Coturnix japonica: one gene and its partners. The protein of the gene in region 1 purifies or fractionates together with the protein of each later gene. This does not show direct contact. Links are inferred from orthologs where the notes say so. Each region holds a gene or a part of one and is shown in the gene's direction. Other genes may lie near its edges.

Region 1 (5,680 bases):
AATGACAGGCTGCAGACATTATTACTACAGCTAATGACCGAGATTGACAAGAATGTTCTCTATACTCTTTGCTCAGGCTATAGACAGTTCTGGGAGGTCTTTTCTATTGCACTTTCTACAGGTAAAATTGCAATCACAAGCACAGAAGTAAGCAGCATCCTCAGATACACAATGAAGAAGCTGTATGGGAAACTGCTAATCACAGCCTGAACCTCTGATTAATCAGCTGAGGCAAATAAGGTCAGCTGTGGGAGCACAGGTGAGAGTAATTTAGCTGTGCTCCTGGAAGGGGTGGAGCTCGACTCCACCTCCTCTAGACCTCATTTAAGGGCTGACCACCACTAAGGCAGCATCTCTTGGGGATTGCTGCCTGGTGGAGATTGCTTCAGTATTTCCTATTGAAGGCAACCATGTTGGTGAGTTTTCCTTATAAATAACAGTAAATTCAATTTATGACAACACCTAATAAAAAGTTTACATATCTTTCAAGTGCCTCAAGCTGGACTTGAAAGTAAATGTTCAATCTGACTGAACAAAAAAGAAAAAGAAGCCTAAGATGTCTATTTCTTTAGTGGATAAATGAGTATTCAGTGAGGCATTAAAGCTTTCTGTAGGACCTGGGTTCTAAGCTTGTTCTCATTTACTCTTTGGTCCTGGCTTAATGCTGGAATAAGGAAAATAAACAGTGTTTCACAACACGTGCAAGGAGGATAAAATAAAAAGCATATCATGTTTTAAGGAGTTCTGGCTAAACGTGACAGTGCTAAAAAAGAGTATTTATCCTTTTGTTTCTTTGAATATAATCAAAAGTACAGGGAGAGCATATGTATTTTATAGTCGCTGATGAAAAGATGGAAAGCTTTGTTATTAATTACACGTGAATCTGATGTTGTAGAGCTGTTAAGCCACCAAGTAACATAATTGTTTGCTTCCTTTGCTTACAGGCCCTCGTTCTAAGATGCATAATTCCTGCTGCTGAGCCTTTTGAGTGCACTCCTGGCTGTAGGTGAATGACTCCATGCTGGGAGCTGTGGGACATGCCTGGAGTTCAACTCACAGCACCCAGATCTACTGAATATCTCCCACTCAGAGCCTGAATTAACTTTGTTTTATATCAGCCCCTCCAAGAGCTACAACAGAAGGTAGGATGGCCAGAACTGTAGCTCCACGCAGGGAGCTTTCAACCAGCTGAGATCTCCACGCTGCAAATTGCAGCTTGCCAGGAAGAGCTTGCTCCTACATCTTCATAAACAAACAAAAGCATTCCCTGCTATAAACAAGCAAAGCAAGCAGCTGGTCCTCATTGGAAAAGACGTTACATCCATTTCACAAAGGAATCCGCAGATCTTCTTCTTCATGCAAATATTTTGGGGCAAACAAAAAGCAGCTGTTTCTGTTGCTTTATACCTATTAGCAGGGAAACAAAATCCAGGATGCTTGTATTTCTTGTAAGGAAAACATCCTCTTGGCATCGATGTTCGTTCAGATCTCAAACTGTTTAACACAGGCTGCATGAATCTGCTTTTGCTTTGTGTTCAGCAAGAGGGTAGAAACCTTTTTTGCTCATTAAGACCTAAAAGCAAAACAGCCGTTGAGGAGCTTGCATGGGTTTATAACAAAGGTTGTGAAGTTTAGAATGTATGTTTTATCTGCTCTGTGCTCCCAGCTCATGTTAATGTGCGGAACGCTGTTAAAGAAAGGAATAATGTATTGGAGTGATGAAGGCAGCCTTTAATTACTGCTGGTAGGGACCTCTGGAAGGATTGAGGGCTGGATAATAGAAGGTGCTTGTATTGCTTGAGCTGGCATCTCTTGGAAGGTTCTGCCTGGTATCTGAGAGCTACTAAAACTGAACTAAAACCCATCTGTGATAATGGCTGAGTGGAAAATAAGAGCTTGGCCTTGGATGTCACCCGCCGGGTGGATGTACCACAAAATGTCACCTCCCAGGAAAAAATGAAGCCGTTCCCTTAGAGAACGCATCAGTTCTATTACAAATGCACACAGTAATGCCGTGCTTTCACAGCATTGCATCACAGCAGGAAGCGATACATGACTGCCCTTAACAGCATTTCCAGTTTCTACAGCAAACCAAGGAAAGCAAAGTACAACCACCACCACAGCGGCGCGCCGGCGCGCTCCGGTAGGCTCCGCCCCCTGCACCTGATTGGCTGCACTTCTTCCGGTCTCCCCCCATTGGCTGCTTGGCGCTGCTCCCCCCGCCCCTCCCGCGCTTCTCTCCCGCCCCGTCCGCGCGCAGCGCTCCATACTTGGCGATGGCCGGCGAGCCGCGCTCTGATTGGTTGAGCTGTGAGGTGAGGGCGGGGCCGGCGGGGCGATGACCCGGATGTTCACTCCTAGGCAACGGCGGAAGTGGAAGGGCCGCGGCCTGCCTCGGAACGAGGGAGAGCGGAGCGGAGCGGACCGGGAGGCGCCGCCGTTGCCACCGCCCAGCGCAGCCCCGCCGAGCCGCCATGGTGAGCACCGTGCGGGATCCGCCGCTTCCAGCCCCGCAGCTGGGCCCTATCGCTTCCTTTTCCCTCCCACGGGGCGGCGGTGAGGGAGGCCCCGGCTGCGGCCTGCACCGGGGGGAGGCGGTGGGGGCAGGGCCCGCGGGGGGCGGTGGGGCAGGGCCTGGGGTAACGCAGGGTCTGGCGGCTCGAACGGAGCCGGGACTGGCGGCCGGAGCGCTGCCTCCAGCCCCGCGTCGCACCGCAGCTGTGCGGAACCAGGAACCGGCGGCGTGCGGGGCGGCCGAGCCTGCCCGGGCAGACACCGCTGCGGTGTGTGCGGCTCACACGATGAGGGTTGGAGTGTCTGGCTTCTGCAGCCGTGTAGCGCAGCCTGGCCGCGATGTGCTGGGGGGTGAGTGCACACAGAATGACCCGGGTTGGAAGGGTCCTCAAGGATCATGTAGTTCCAACCCCCCTGCCTGGCAGGGCCACCAAACATACACCTTTACTAGATCAGGTTGCCCAGGGCCCCGTCCAACCTGGTCTTGAACACCTCCAAGGACGGGGCATCCACAACCTCCCTGGGCAGCCTGTTCCAGGGCCTAACCACTCTCCTAGTGAAGAACTTCCCCCTAACATCCAACCTAAATCTTCCCTCTTTTAACTCAAGTTCACCCAAGGGACAAAACCTTCGGTTTCCCTTTGGTGCTGTGCGTGGAGGGGGTGCAGCCCCTGGGGTCTCATCTCCTATGGGCTCACCCAGCACCTAAGGGTGGAGATGTCTTGCTGTGCCCAGCCTGCCTGGCGGGGTGCCCACTGAGCCCCTGTAATACAGCGTACCTGGAGGGCTGTAATTGCTCCAGTGCTTGGTACTGCTCAGGAATTTGTGGTTTGATGTTTTTTAGGACTGTTCAAATATAGTTAGGTTCAAAATGTACCTGGTTACATGTAAAGACTGGTTTAGTAATCAATCCTTTGCTTCAACTGTAAGAATTTCAGAGGCAATATCTTATCCTTTCCTCTGGAGGCTGAAGGTCCTGGTGGTCCCAATGCTTATATGGCACAGGATGAAGATGTTTGATTTCTAGTGGAAGGTGAAGAAAGCTTATGATCAAGATTCTGTGCCTGTTGGAACAAAGCTGTGCTTGGCACCCAAGCGTGGGATTGGCGTGATGGAGCATCTAACTTCACATGTGAATGTTAGACCAAGAGCCCTGGCTGAAGTCTTTGTACACAAGACCTGCTGCAGGATTTATTAGACAGGAGGCCAACCAACTGTCCTAACTTAAAAATCCTCACAGAGAAAGAACTGAAGGAAAACAAGCAGGCTTCATGTAAAACGACAGTGGTGTTACCTGCTGCTTTTAAGGGAATGCAGAAGTATGCTGTAAGAATGATTCAGTTGAGGTGTGTGACTTCGTTACTCCTTAGGGGAGATAGAGCACAAGCCCTTTAGGAGTTTTTTGAGTGCTGTAAGCTTTTGCTGTCTTCTGATTTCTCATGTTTAGTCATGGAAAGCATTGGGTACAGGAGAAACCTGACCAGGATCTCCAGTACTGTGCTAGGCTCAGCTGTTGGGTGGACTTCAGGTAGGAACCTGTGGCAGCTGCCCCGTTATTTGTGTGTTGTGGTGGCTGTGTACACACCCGAAGGTTTGTTCACTGAGTGGGGCAAGTGGAGTGTGGTTTATGCAGGCCTACTGCAAGAAAGGTCACTGGGCTTGGTTACAGGAGACAAATGAGCTGTGGTGATGTGTTAATAAAGCCTTGCTCTTAGAATCAGCATTATGCAGACAATGCAATTCTGGCACCCAGTTTCAACTTTAGTTCCCTTCTGGTTTTTAGAGTATCCCCAGGATCTATTGCTTTTGTAGACAATACTCAAATGTAGCATGAAGGAACTAAAATAGGTCTGGCACTGACAGCTGCTGTTTTATGTGGTTCATACCAAAGCAATGTAAGATTTGTGAAACTAAACACTTTTTCATCTCCCTGAATTCTGAGTCTCTGATTGTGATTGTGTCACTCTTGAAACTCATGGCATCAGCTCAGGGAAAGTTTTCAGTGCCCACAGCACATCCTTTAGTCCTTGTACCATCTAAGAAATCCTCGTTCGTGTTATTTTGTAGAGTCCATGTTTTGTTAGCCACGTATGTGAGCTTAGATAAATGCTGTCTTAAAAGCCAAGTTCTCCAAGTAAATCAAATTGGCGGGTATTGCTGGGATAGGGAATACTGTCATTGCAGTGATGATAAATCTTTGGCTTGAGAATATTTGAACCACAAGATCTTCAGATGGGATTTCCTCATATGGTAAATATATGTGCTGATATCTTATTAGTTAACATCTGGGAATAAACCGGAATGAAAGCACAGTTTAACTCTTTTGAATTACTATTTTTAGTGCTTATTACATTAGTAGCTCAATGATTCTCTTTGGGAAAGATATGTTCTGCATTAATCAGCTGGACTTCTCTGTTGAGTTTCCCATGCAAAGGATGGCTGATGAGCTGCAGGCTGTGCATGGAGCGTTCTCCTGCCTGCCCTTTGGAGGTATGTTTGGTCACATCCAAATGGTTCCTCACTCTAATTCACACTGTAGAGCTGTCACTCAGACACTGTGCATTGTAATTTCTTTCCAATTGATTTATGTAAGGAGCTCTGAAGAGTTTGCAGTGCCCCTCCAAACCTTTGTCTCTCTTCCCCTGGTGCACAGGGTCCAAAGCAATTGCCTCCAATGTGCCCATTTTTCCTGATCCTTTGCCATTTCCAGCAAGGAAGAGGGAAAATTGCACTTAAAACCATGTGTGTGAAGGAGCAATGAATGTCTGGGCTTTATAAACCTTTTCCCACCTCCCTGGTCCATCTAGCTGTGCTGTGATGCAGGGTTTGCTTGCTGGTAGGTTATGTTTGTTTATTTATTACAAAGCTTTTCTAACTTGAACAGGAATTCAAGACTGAATGCTGGTCAAGCAGGTTTTAAAGATGTCTCCCTGCTGTTTGAGCTGAGAGGTTTTATTATGAGGAGAAAATGGAGAATGCTTGAGGAAGCTGCTCTGCTTGTTTCCTAATTATAAAGTTGTAATTTTCCGCAATGGATGCTGTCGGGGTAGTGCCAAATGGAGTGGCAACACAATCCTTCTGGCCGTTTAGATGGAATAAATCTCCTAAGTTCAAGAATCAGAAATAGGATCTGTTTCCTATCTGTGGTTGTCTAAAATAGGCTTTT
Region 2 (5,187 bases), on another chromosome or scaffold:
GCAATGGATACAGTCCTAAGACTGCACTGAAAACCTCTATCTTTGAATCCTTTGCACCCTGGTCTGGTGGTTGCTGCTGTGAAGCTTGGACTGCTGCCAGCACAGCTTCAAAGCAGTGGTTGCAGCACAGGATTCATTCAGCTTGAAATTCCTGTTTAGCACAGTGGAAAATCCCTTGGGGGAGCTGCAGTAGTCTATACCATCTGTATATCTTGTATTAATGGACTTGTAGTAAACAATACATTTTCTCCCTTTGTGTTCAAGACTTTCTGCTCTCTGCCAGGAAGTTCTTAAGATTAAGGTGATGTGGAGATCTTAGTCCTATACAAAAGGTACAAAAAGCAAACCTTTTTATGAGTATGTAAGCTAAAGCTTTAAGCCTTCATCAGCAATCACCAGTCTAAGTTGATGCTAAGTATCTGCAGGATCTGTAGTACAGTGCTCTTATCTGATTTGTTTATAGAATGATAGAATCACTAGGGTTGGAAAACATCTCTTAAGATCATCTAGTCCAAATGTCCACCTACACCAATATCCAAACAGAACCTCCCCTCGTGCAATTTGAGGCCTTTCCCTCTCATCCTATCACCTGGGAGAAGAAGCTGACCCCCTCTCTTCCTGTGACTTCCTTTCATGTAGCTGTAGAGGGTAACTGTTATAATTAATTGTATTGTCATGTATTACTCACCTCACAGCTAATGCTGAAAGACCCCAGTCAAGAATTTGGACCTTGTTGCAAAATTCTTTTAGGGTGTGATACTCACGCAACCAGGAATGGACATCATGGAAACTGAGAATTCATGTCTGGGTGGCCACCCCTTCACTTGAATTAGACTGTGAATGTGTTGTGAATGCTCCTTAAACAGTATAAGCTGACAGCCTTCAGTTGAGCAGTCCTGCTGGTACAGTCATTTTTGAAGTTGATTACCAGCTGTTGTGGTTTAACCCAGCAGGCAGCTCAGCACCACGCACAGCCTTTCACTTGTTTTTACCCCCACCTCGATGGGATGAGAATTGGAGGGGGAAGAAAAGCAACAACAAAGCACCAACAAAGTAGAGCTTGTGGGTGGAGATAAAAAAAAACTCTCATCTAAAACAGAAAAGGAAGAGAGAAATAACAGTAATCTTAGTTATGCATACACACAAAACAAGTGATGCGTGATGCAGTTGCTCACCACCCACTGATAGATATCTAACCGGTTCCCCCTGAGCAACTGCCCTCAATTTAATGGCTTTCATGTGATGTCATGTGGTGTGGGGAATCCCTTTGGCTAGTTTAGGTCAGCTGTCCTGGTTCTGTCCCCTCTCAGCTCCTTGTGCCCTTGCAGTCCCCCTTGCTAACAGGACAGTGTGAGAAGCTGGGAAACTGAAATGTCCTTGATGCTGTACAGCACTGCTCAGCAGCAACTAAGCCGTCAGTCATAATCAATGTAGCTTTTCTTCTAAAGTGGCAGCATAGCATCATACCAGGTGCTATGAAGACAACCAACTCTGTCCCATGTGAGCACAGGACACCCAACAAAATCTAGGAACCTGTTTAATTCAATGCTAACCTAATAACATGCAGGATAACGTGTCAGTCTCCTGTCCGGTTCAGTGCATGATTTGTGTGAGCAATCCTGCAAGTACAAGGGATTAGGAAGGATCAGATTTATGATCAGATCGTGAATAATCTGGTTTATTACCTCCGCCTTCCTAAGAAAAAGGATAAGTAGTTATCAGTCCTGCTTACCGTGTACTTTAAACCCTCTGCTTCATCTTACAACCCTTTGTAAAAGTAGTCTGTTTCATGCTTTCTGTTTCTACTACCACACCCCCTTCCTATGTCCTCTTTCTTTAGTCAAGGATTATGGAGAGAAGGAAGTCTTCCCAAGCTCTTCTCCACCATGCACACTGTAAAACCTCAGTTTTTTTCTACCTAGCCTTGTATGTACACACAGATTTTTCAAACTTGTTCTGTCATTGCCTTCCAAATGAGTCACAGTCCACAAGCTACTAAAAGTGGTTAGCTGTTTAACTTTGTGCTGATTAAGTTGGGAGAGCTGAATGGCAGCCTGCTCTTCATCACTGCTGAGGATTAAACTTACCTCCAACATAATGTGTTTACTCGTGGAAGTCAACAATTGCTTTGGATTTCAGAGTGGAAGCCTGTTCCTCTCTTTCAGTCTGGTGAATCAGCTAGGTGTCTTTCTGTTTAAGTTCTTGTTTGCAGATCTGATTAGAAGATCTGATAGCAGGTCATGTTTTTGCTTCTTCACGTGGCCGCTTGAGGATAAAATAAAATGTTTTCTCTGGAAGCTGCAGTGGGGCCGTTTACACTAATTCTTACTCTGTTGTAAGAGTCAAAGCTGCATTGGACTAGGCAAAATATCTTCCTCTTAATGTCTAGTAGCCTTCAAGTCAGAAGTGAAGAGTGTTTTTATATTATTTGACTGTATTGTTTTTGTTAATTTGCAGTGGATATGACTTTGGTTATCTAATCAAAATCCTGACCAACTCTAATTTGCCTGAAGAAGAGCTGGACTTCTTTGAGATACTGCGATTGTTTTTCCCTGTCATCTATGATGTAAAGTATCTCATGAAGAGTTGCAAAAATCTGAAGGTAAGTAATCTGTTAGTGGTTCAGTCCAGACATTTTTTTGTGGGGAGGGGAGAATACCTTCTGCTAAAAGCTTATCTTCTGTATCCTGGTTTTCCACTTTTGCTCTGGTTATATCCATTAAACAGGACTTGAACTTGGTGCATATTTAATATTAAAGGCTATTGATAGAGGCAGGCAGAAGTGCACGTCAACTTTTATAACTACTTACCAGTTAAAAAATATTGTGTTGGCACTGTATTTATAGCTATGCCCAGTTTTTGTTGCCAGATGATAAACTCATGTTTGGGATATAGATCCTTCACTTCTTGAGCAATAAGAATTGTTGGGTTTCACGTACTCTTATTTCCTCATTGTGCAGTCCACTAAAGGGCTGCAGTCGTCTTCACAAAGGTAATTGCAACGGTGATGCTGTGGAAGTCTCTTGGGAAGAGGAATGGAGTGAAGAATGTTTCAGATGGCCCTATAAGGAAAGATAAAGAGCAGCGTATATTCAGAAGCAGCACGTGACTTCTAGAGGAAAAAAAAATAAAGTAGTTTTAGAAACTAATCTCTCATATCAGGCCAGCAGGGCTGCTAATTGGCATGACGTTTGGAGACTTAATTGAACTGGAAAATGAATTGAAACAAAGTATGTTGAAGGGGAAGACAGCGAAGTGAAAGATGCTACAGGGATTGTTAACGACTGTACTTGCTAAAGAACTTTAAGATTCTGGACTGCTACGGGAATGAAGTGCACCACTCACCTGAAGCAATAAATGACTTTGTTGCTTATATGGAAAATAACTTGATTTTTTTTAGTCTTTCTTAAAAAGAACGTGAATAAACAAACAAGAGCATTGGCTGTAGTACAACTAAATCCTGAGGCATTTCACTTCCTCATGCTGAATGAGTGGTCTGCATGGAGTTAATAGTCCTTTGTTTCCTTGAGGTGTTTAGTGTGTCATTTAAATAGTAGCATCCAAAGATGTGTAATTTCTTTTGTGAACCAAATTGCTGATAATGGAGATCTCCCTTTTAGTTATTAAGAAAAGTATACTTACCGGACTTCATCCAGTTATTGGGAAAACCAGTTGGGCAAATGGCTGGACATTAGAGAACATTTTAGACATGTTTTTTCTTCACAGAAGCTAGAAAGGAAAAAAAACCATCAAGCTTCAGAAGTCTCCTAAGGGTTAGGGGCAGCAAATTCAGCACCACCACCAACAAAAAAAAACCCACAAACTTTCTCACTTCTGAGTGAAGTAAAATGTCTCTTGTCTTTGTGGTGGTGATATACTTATCAAGAACAGTATGTATCATCTACTTCAGTGACCTGGGAAAGGCAACAAAATGGCATTCCATAGTGCTGTTCCATAGGTGATATTCCAAGTGGTTTTGGGGAGGAGAGAGTTATATTGTCACTTAATTAAGGCAGTTGTGTGTAACTTGCACTGTTTAGAGATTCAAATGCATTTTGGAAGATAAGAAAAACCTTCATGAGTCTTCTTTCAGCAAAAATTAAGAACAAAGGTGTCTTTTTGAGCATTTAATATGTAGGTGAGCTTTCCTGCAGCAAATCTTATTCTTCTTAGCTGCAGATTGGTAATGACAGGAGGGAATGTGGGCTATCCTACCACTCTAAGCACCAGCAAATGAAATTATTGTGGACTTGTACTGTTCTGAGAGCAGCTGTCTGAAAAGAAAAGTTGCTAAGTGTTGCATATTGTGACTCAAAAATTGTCATGTTTGGTCTCTATTAAATGGCAGAGAATTGAACTGCTGTGCAGTGGTCCTTTATTGACTTTTATAAGTTATTTTCATACAAAAAACAGACTTACTCTAAGCTTCCCACCTACCTCTGCCCTCACATAGCCAAAAGTGAATTTTTAGCATTGATAAGACAAGTGTTTGAGGATGTGGAAACTGTTTGCTGCTCTTACAATGAATCCACAGTATGCTACTCTAACAAAAATGGACATCAGTGTACTACACAGCAGGCAGACTGTGACTAACTCGAGGTACTTGTGTAGTACAGGTTAAATTCCTGCTTGGGGTCTAAAAATCTTTTCATGCAGGCAACTCCATACAGTTTTTGCAGTAATAGCAGTTCTAAAGTAGATTTATAGGCTGTTCTTTCATTTTCTTCTGAATCCCTTTCTACTGCCTTTCTTCCCCACAAGTTAAATATTCTTATGTAGAGCGTGAAGTCTTTCCTGTAATAAAATTTCAGTAGCCTAATAATCTTTGGAGGCAATTGTAATGATATGTTTACAAATGTATCTACTGGTGACTATATGTATTGGAAGGGTTATTTTCAAAGCCTTCTTTGCTTTGCTGCTGTTCCTATAAATTTTGCAGCCACTGTGTAAATAGTACTGATTTGTGATATCAGGTGCTAAGTGAAGCTGGTATAGATAGCCTAACAGCTAGCACTACGTAATGATGAGGCGATGTTAAGTGTCAGCTTGGGAAAGTCAAGAGTTTACAAACAGCAAATAGTGCTTTGGAAAGGCAACTGCTGTTGCTAATGCCAATAGGAAAGTTAGGTTGTAGAGAATGTGCTTTTATTTGAGATCTGATTGATTTTCTGCCCATCATCCCTGAAC
Region 3 (5,682 bases), on another chromosome or scaffold:
CTTCTTGCAAAAACTGAGCGTGTAGAAAATCTAATCCTCTTGAGAGTGGTTTGTTGAAATGTGTGCATTTGGTGTGGTACCTGTTGTGATTAGAGTATTTTCATGCTTGCTTTGCCTGAAGATGGCTGTGTTAGCATTGGGTTAGCCTGTTTAGGTGCAAGGTGTGAGGGCTCTCACTGTTCGCTTTGCACTTTTTAGGTATGAACTGGTCTCTGGTTATTTTCTCCATAGAGTTTCTCTCCAGCTTTGGGATTGCAGTGTTAGAAGTGCAATACTCAAAACTTTAGATTTTTGTTGTTGTTGGTTTGTCCAGATCATTGTGATGTTTTAACAGGAATTTTGCCAAGTAAAAATGATGGAGTAGGTGGAAAGTGCAAAAGCATCTTCCACACTGCTGCACCCCTCTTCAAAGTAATCATTATAGGTAAGAAAGGAAGCTATGCCTTATGCCATTCCCAGAAGTTCAGCATGCATCTCTGCACGTGGCACGGATTGTTGCCACATGTCCTTGGTTATTGATTATGGTCAACAAAAGAACAATTTGAGAGCTGTGAACTTTGGATGGAACCACTGTTTTGCTACTCAAACATTCCTTCTGAAAACAGAAACCCGTAGAATGTTTTTGGGGAGCAGTCTGTCTACCTGAGAAATTCAGTGAATAGAGATCAAGAAGCAAAGGTTTAGGGCTTGTTTTCTATGATCTGGATTACCCATGTCTCTTTTCAAAACTTTTCTTGCAGTGTACCCCTGAAAACATCAGAAATCTTCATGTTTAGGAGTATTTTGTTTCCCCCAGACTGTTGGTGTGGAGCTGTGCAGAGCAAGGGAAGGTCAAGAAATGTGGGAAGTGATGACTCAATTATTGTGCTTTTGCTAATTCCTTTGAACTGTGGATTCTAAATTCACTGCTGCCTTGCAAACATTAGTGTGTGAGACTTGCAACTGATACCTGTTCTAAAAACAGGAGGGGAGGAGAGGGAGCTGTGTTTATTTCAACAAGCACAAGCAACACTTCCAAAATACACTTGTGGTTGTATCATAGTTATGAATCTGAGGTTATCTAGTGGTGAGCAGCGTGATGAAATGGCAGCCTAATATGTCCATGCTTTATTTGGAAAACGTAGTTCTTATCAAAAGATGAAGAACACCAGTGTTTCATTCACTGTGTTTGTTGAATCTCTAAGTGCAGATACCGTGTCTGTCAACACCTCATACTGTGAGATGCAGGAACTCGCCTTTCACAGCTGCACAGTAAGTTCTTGAGGATTGTGTGGCATAGAGACAAATGTCCTCCACTTTCTCTCCTTCCGTGTGTGTTTTTTAGTCTCTCTTATTGTACAATCAAAGTTAACAAAGGAAGGAGATGTCTCTTAATCAGATAGAGTTGCATTTATGTTGTGTTATGGTTTGTTTTTTTTTAAGACTATATTATCTAACTGGGGTGGTGGTTAACAGATAGATTGTAACAGCTTTCTAAATTCTTTGGGCAGAGCTGAGCTCATACCAGCTATTATATTTAAGAAGCCCTACAGATTAAAAAACAAACAATCAAACAAACAAAAAAAACACAAAAAACAAACATAAAAAACTCTTTCCTTACTGCAGAGTTTAACCTATAGAGTTTGGGTGTGCACCTTTGGTAAGACAGCTATCCTCCTATTTAAAAATAAAATGGATGAGTAAATCCTCCCTGGCAAACCAGGGATCCTCAGACTGCGGGTGTATGTAGTTTGCATTGAAGAGAAACTGCCTGGAGGGCACAGGCTGTGGCATAAAACGTATGTCCTTATTTCCACAGCCATGGAACTGGGGCTGGGGGATGCCTTTCTGCTGCCCACCGCTCCCAGTTCAGAGCACAGGCACTTGTTTGGCCCCGTGACAATCACGCCAACTGCGGCATGTGTCTGATAGTGAAACAATGAATGGCTTGTTCTCTCAGAGGAACAAAAAGTGGGTTGGGTTGAAAAAAGATAAATAAGAATTTCTCAGTGGGTCATTTTAGGCTCTCACGGCAATTTGAATGTGCTGAATGAGTGGCTTCTGAACTGAGCCAATGGGGGTGGTCAGGCACAGGCATCACTTTTATCCCACACGGGGGAGGAGGGGTGAATGAGCTGGAAGATATAAGCTGAAACAAAGCCATGCAGTCCTTCTGAGTCATTCGCATGCACTGGATGGGTAAGGCTTCCTGCTTCCTGGGACGCAGAAGTGGGGTCATGATTCTAACAATGGATGCTGGTAAGTCACTTGTTATTAAATTTGTCTTTGATTTTTCTGGGAAATCTCGCCTTTCCCTCTTGTCCCCAGCTGCAAAAAAGACAGTTGTAAATTAGGAAGCTGAATGTTAAATAAAGACGTGCCTACTTTAAGCTGTGTGCACTCTACTGTGTGGTTTTTCTTGACTGTTAGTCACAGAAGCACATAACCCCAAGACCATGGTACCAAAGTTGTGTTTATTCACTCCTCCATCTGTCTTCATTGTGGCCTGTGGAGTAGTATCATTTTTGTATGATACAAGTCAGATTTTACACTTTCTGTAAAGAGCTAGAGACAAACTAATGTGCTGTCAGTAGCTTGTTTTACTTTGTGCTTACAGAAATCTTGTGCTGGGGAGGAAGGGGAAGAAAGTGCTGCATTCTCATGACGATCAGTTCTGTTTTGTATGTTTATAGCTCAGGAAATATGTGTGAAAAGAGCACATGCAGGATTTTTATTATTATTTTTTAATTTACCATGGAAGTGAAATCTTTAACATAATACCCTGTGTGATAGGGAGGATGAATGCCAGCAGTAAGATATAGGGTGGTATGTCTAAAAGAAACAAGGAATCCCAGTTGTCCTCCTTGAGGAGGGGGCTGTGTTTCCATATCATAGCTCGCATCCTTTAAATTCCTCAGCAAAAAAAGGTTCTAAGATGTTAAATGGTTATGGGTAGGGCATAAAGTGCCAGCACTTGTGTTCTGGCAGTGTGCTGACGATTGCTCTTTCTCTTACCAGTTGCAAGCATGCTTGCTGCATTCTAAGAGCTCTGTTGAACTTTTGTCAGCAATTGGTTCAGCTACTTTTCCAGCAGTGTGCAGAAGCAGCACAATGTGACAAGTCCTACAGGCAGCATTCAGAGTGATGAACTTATTCAGGCACATCTTGCAGGTCTGTTCAATCTACTTGTCACATGCTCAGTTTAGTCCATGCTAATGAAAAGCTCTCTGTCCCCTGTACGTCTGAATTAATTTGTTTGGGCACTTGCTAGGGCCTAAAGGGAAACTGCGCCCACATCCAACTGACTTTTCTGAGACTTGCTCAAAGTGACAAAGCTGGGCTCTCCATGCACTGTTTGAAGGAAACAACAAACCTCTTCATTTAACCCACTCACACTTAATTGAAGTTACTTTGTCATCCACTGTCACTGCAGACAGTATTGAAGGCAGTGACTCCTGTCTTCGATGTATGTTGCATACTTTGCAAAGCCCAAGCCCTTTAATTGAGATAATACGATAAACAGAAACTCAGTGAGGAGTGAGGTAGCATATAGCTGACAAAGGGGTACAGACTTTTCCACGATGGACCTATTTTTTATGTTTTATTTGGTCACTTTGATTAGCTTCTAGAGGATCCATATTTCTGGCCCTTCCTAAAGCAGTTTGAGCACTGGGAGTTAGTAATGCTCTTCTCTCTGCCTTGAGCAAGAAGAACCAATGTCGGTGCTAGACGTTGCTCCTGCTATTACAGGAGGCAATGTGCAGGTTGAAAGAGGTCCCAGCAAATAACAGATTCAGACTTTGTGAACAGGGTACATCATCTCCTTCGGAGTCCTGGAGTTCCTGCACTGTACTGGAGTAATTTAACTCTTTGTTTTGGAAAGACTGAGGNCCAGACAAATAAGCACAAGCAGCATGCTGCATTCTTGAAACCATCTTCTTCTAAACAACATGTACATGGAAACTTAAAAATACATCTGTTGTTTATGTATCCTTACGTACTTGTGTGCTGCTGCTTTGCACCGTGAAGTGAACCATAAAGATAACACTGCTCATCTGCCCTCCCCCGGATCCAAAGGGTGTCTCCTTTCAGCACAGTGCCACTGCACCGAGTGCTCGGGGTCGCAGGGCTCTGGCAGCCCTCGGGGTGCTTTTCATGGTTCTCTTGACTTACATTGTTAGCAAGAACTCATTTTGGAAGCACCCAGGTGTTGAAGAGTTCTGAAATTATAGTCCTGAGCTTCTTGGTGGGAAAATGGTTCAAAATACTAGAAAGGAAACACTGTAACATAAGGGTTTAGCAGTGACTTCTGGTGCTTTGCAGTTGTGTTTAAGTTACGATAAAAATATGCAAGCAATTCAGTACCTTAATCTGGGCCATGGATAGGGCGCCATGAAGTTTTATCTGCTTATTTTTACCCACCTTTAAGGCTGAGCCGACTGTTCTTGGTACTGTTTGCTTACTTCAGACTGTATGTTTGCATTACGAGTTGGGGCTGATTTAAAAAAATTACTGGCAATAAATGCTGAAGATGTTTCTAATACAGCAAAACCTTTTCTCCTTAAGAGGACTATAAAAATACATGCTGGTTTGTTTCTGTTTTTATGAAACATGTTTTATTCTGTCACGTTTGTCCCTGCAGCATTTAATTTCTTGTAGGAGCGGGACTTTAAAAGTTGTGGATGGGGGGAATAAAAAGGAAAGCTGCAAGACAGAGCTGACAGTATAATTGGATTTGAAGCAGCTACAGGCTGGGACTGTTGCAACAGCTGATTTGATCCTTCTGAGTTTCAAGAGCTATTTATGGTAGATTAGCTGTATCAAAGCTCTACTGTTCCAACCATAAAAGGCCGGTCCTATGCGAAGTTGCCACACTGCATTTGGCTTAGTCCTCCGAGGTTGGAGAGCCTATAGCTTTTTATGTGGATAAATCCAGTGATGGATGGAAGTACTAAAGGCAGATCGAGGAGTAACATTGTCGAGGACTTCAGATGGCAGCGAACTCTTAAAAGGAGATTTTCACTAATAAATTTTTTGTTCTGATGTTTGGAATCAGCGCTTGGAATATAGCTCCTGCGTGTGCACTGCATTTGGTGAACGCGTGCTTTTAGGAAAGCGTTGTTCTAAATTTATCTGACTTATCTGAATCATCTTGACTGCACATGTACTCGCCAGCCTTGCATGTTGATATCTGGTAACTTTGTGAAGTCACTTTTCCGTTTTATTAGCGGTGAGCATTAGTCCTTTGGAAAGGAACCTTAGCTGAAGGGAGAAACTTCTCTAAAACAAGAATCATGAAATTCTTGGCTCACGAACACTGCAAGAGTTATCAGTAAGTATTTTGAGAAGTCTGACCCCTTCTGCTGCGTCTGTACCTTCTTTCTTTCCTCCTTTGCAAAAGGGGTTTTTGCGGGATTCTGAAGTAAGTCGTATGTCCTTCGCTGAGCGTGCGTGTGGCCGCGTGGGCCAGTTGTCTGAGGCTTCATCAGGTTGAAATGCAAGTGGGTTTATTCCAGCCTGTGCATGCCACTCATTCAGCCGTCCTTAAGGCATTTTGTGTTTTTATTCTTGTGGTTTTGTTTGGAGGATGAGTTCATTCTGCTATGAATGGAAGGTCCCATTGCTGGTTGGTTCGTGTGTGAGGTGAATCTTTTTTAGTTTTAATGCATTAACCTTAGGCACAGCTACAAGCAACTCTAAGAA

Evidence for each region.
Region 2: the proteins of CAPZB (region 1) and CNOT7 purify together in Homo sapiens (co-immunoprecipitation; 3 studies listed by BioGRID and IntAct, with this or other methods). This does not show direct contact. The link is inferred for Coturnix japonica from reciprocal best matches to the Homo sapiens genes CAPZB and CNOT7.
Region 3: the proteins of CAPZB (region 1) and SVIL purify together in Homo sapiens (co-immunoprecipitation; 3 studies listed by BioGRID and IntAct, with this or other methods). This does not show direct contact. The link is inferred for Coturnix japonica from reciprocal best matches to the Homo sapiens genes CAPZB and SVIL.

What each region holds. Positions count from the first base shown.
Region 1 is NC_029536.1:4,122,060-4,127,739, reverse strand, and holds the start of CAPZB (F-actin-capping protein subunit beta), read left to right. Parts: upstream 1-2,343; 5' UTR 2,344-2,474; coding exon 2,475-2,477; intron 2,478-5,680. UniProt on the Homo sapiens protein: F-actin-capping proteins bind in a Ca(2+)-independent manner to the fast growing ends of actin filaments (barbed end) thereby blocking the exchange of subunits at these ends.
Region 2 is NC_029519.1:56,943,661-56,948,847, forward strand, and holds part of CNOT7 (CCR4-NOT transcription complex subunit 7), read left to right. Parts: intron 1-2,457; coding exon 2,458-2,602; intron 2,603-5,187. UniProt on the Homo sapiens protein: Has 3'-5' poly(A) exoribonuclease activity for synthetic poly(A) RNA substrate. Its function seems to be partially redundant with that of CNOT8.
Region 3 is NC_029517.1:13,367,600-13,373,281, reverse strand, and holds the start of SVIL (supervillin), read left to right. Parts: upstream 1-2,118; 5' UTR 2,119-2,165; coding exon 2,166-2,238; intron 2,239-4,851; exon of another isoform or gene 4,852-5,310; coding exon of another isoform or gene 5,311-5,311; intron 5,312-5,682.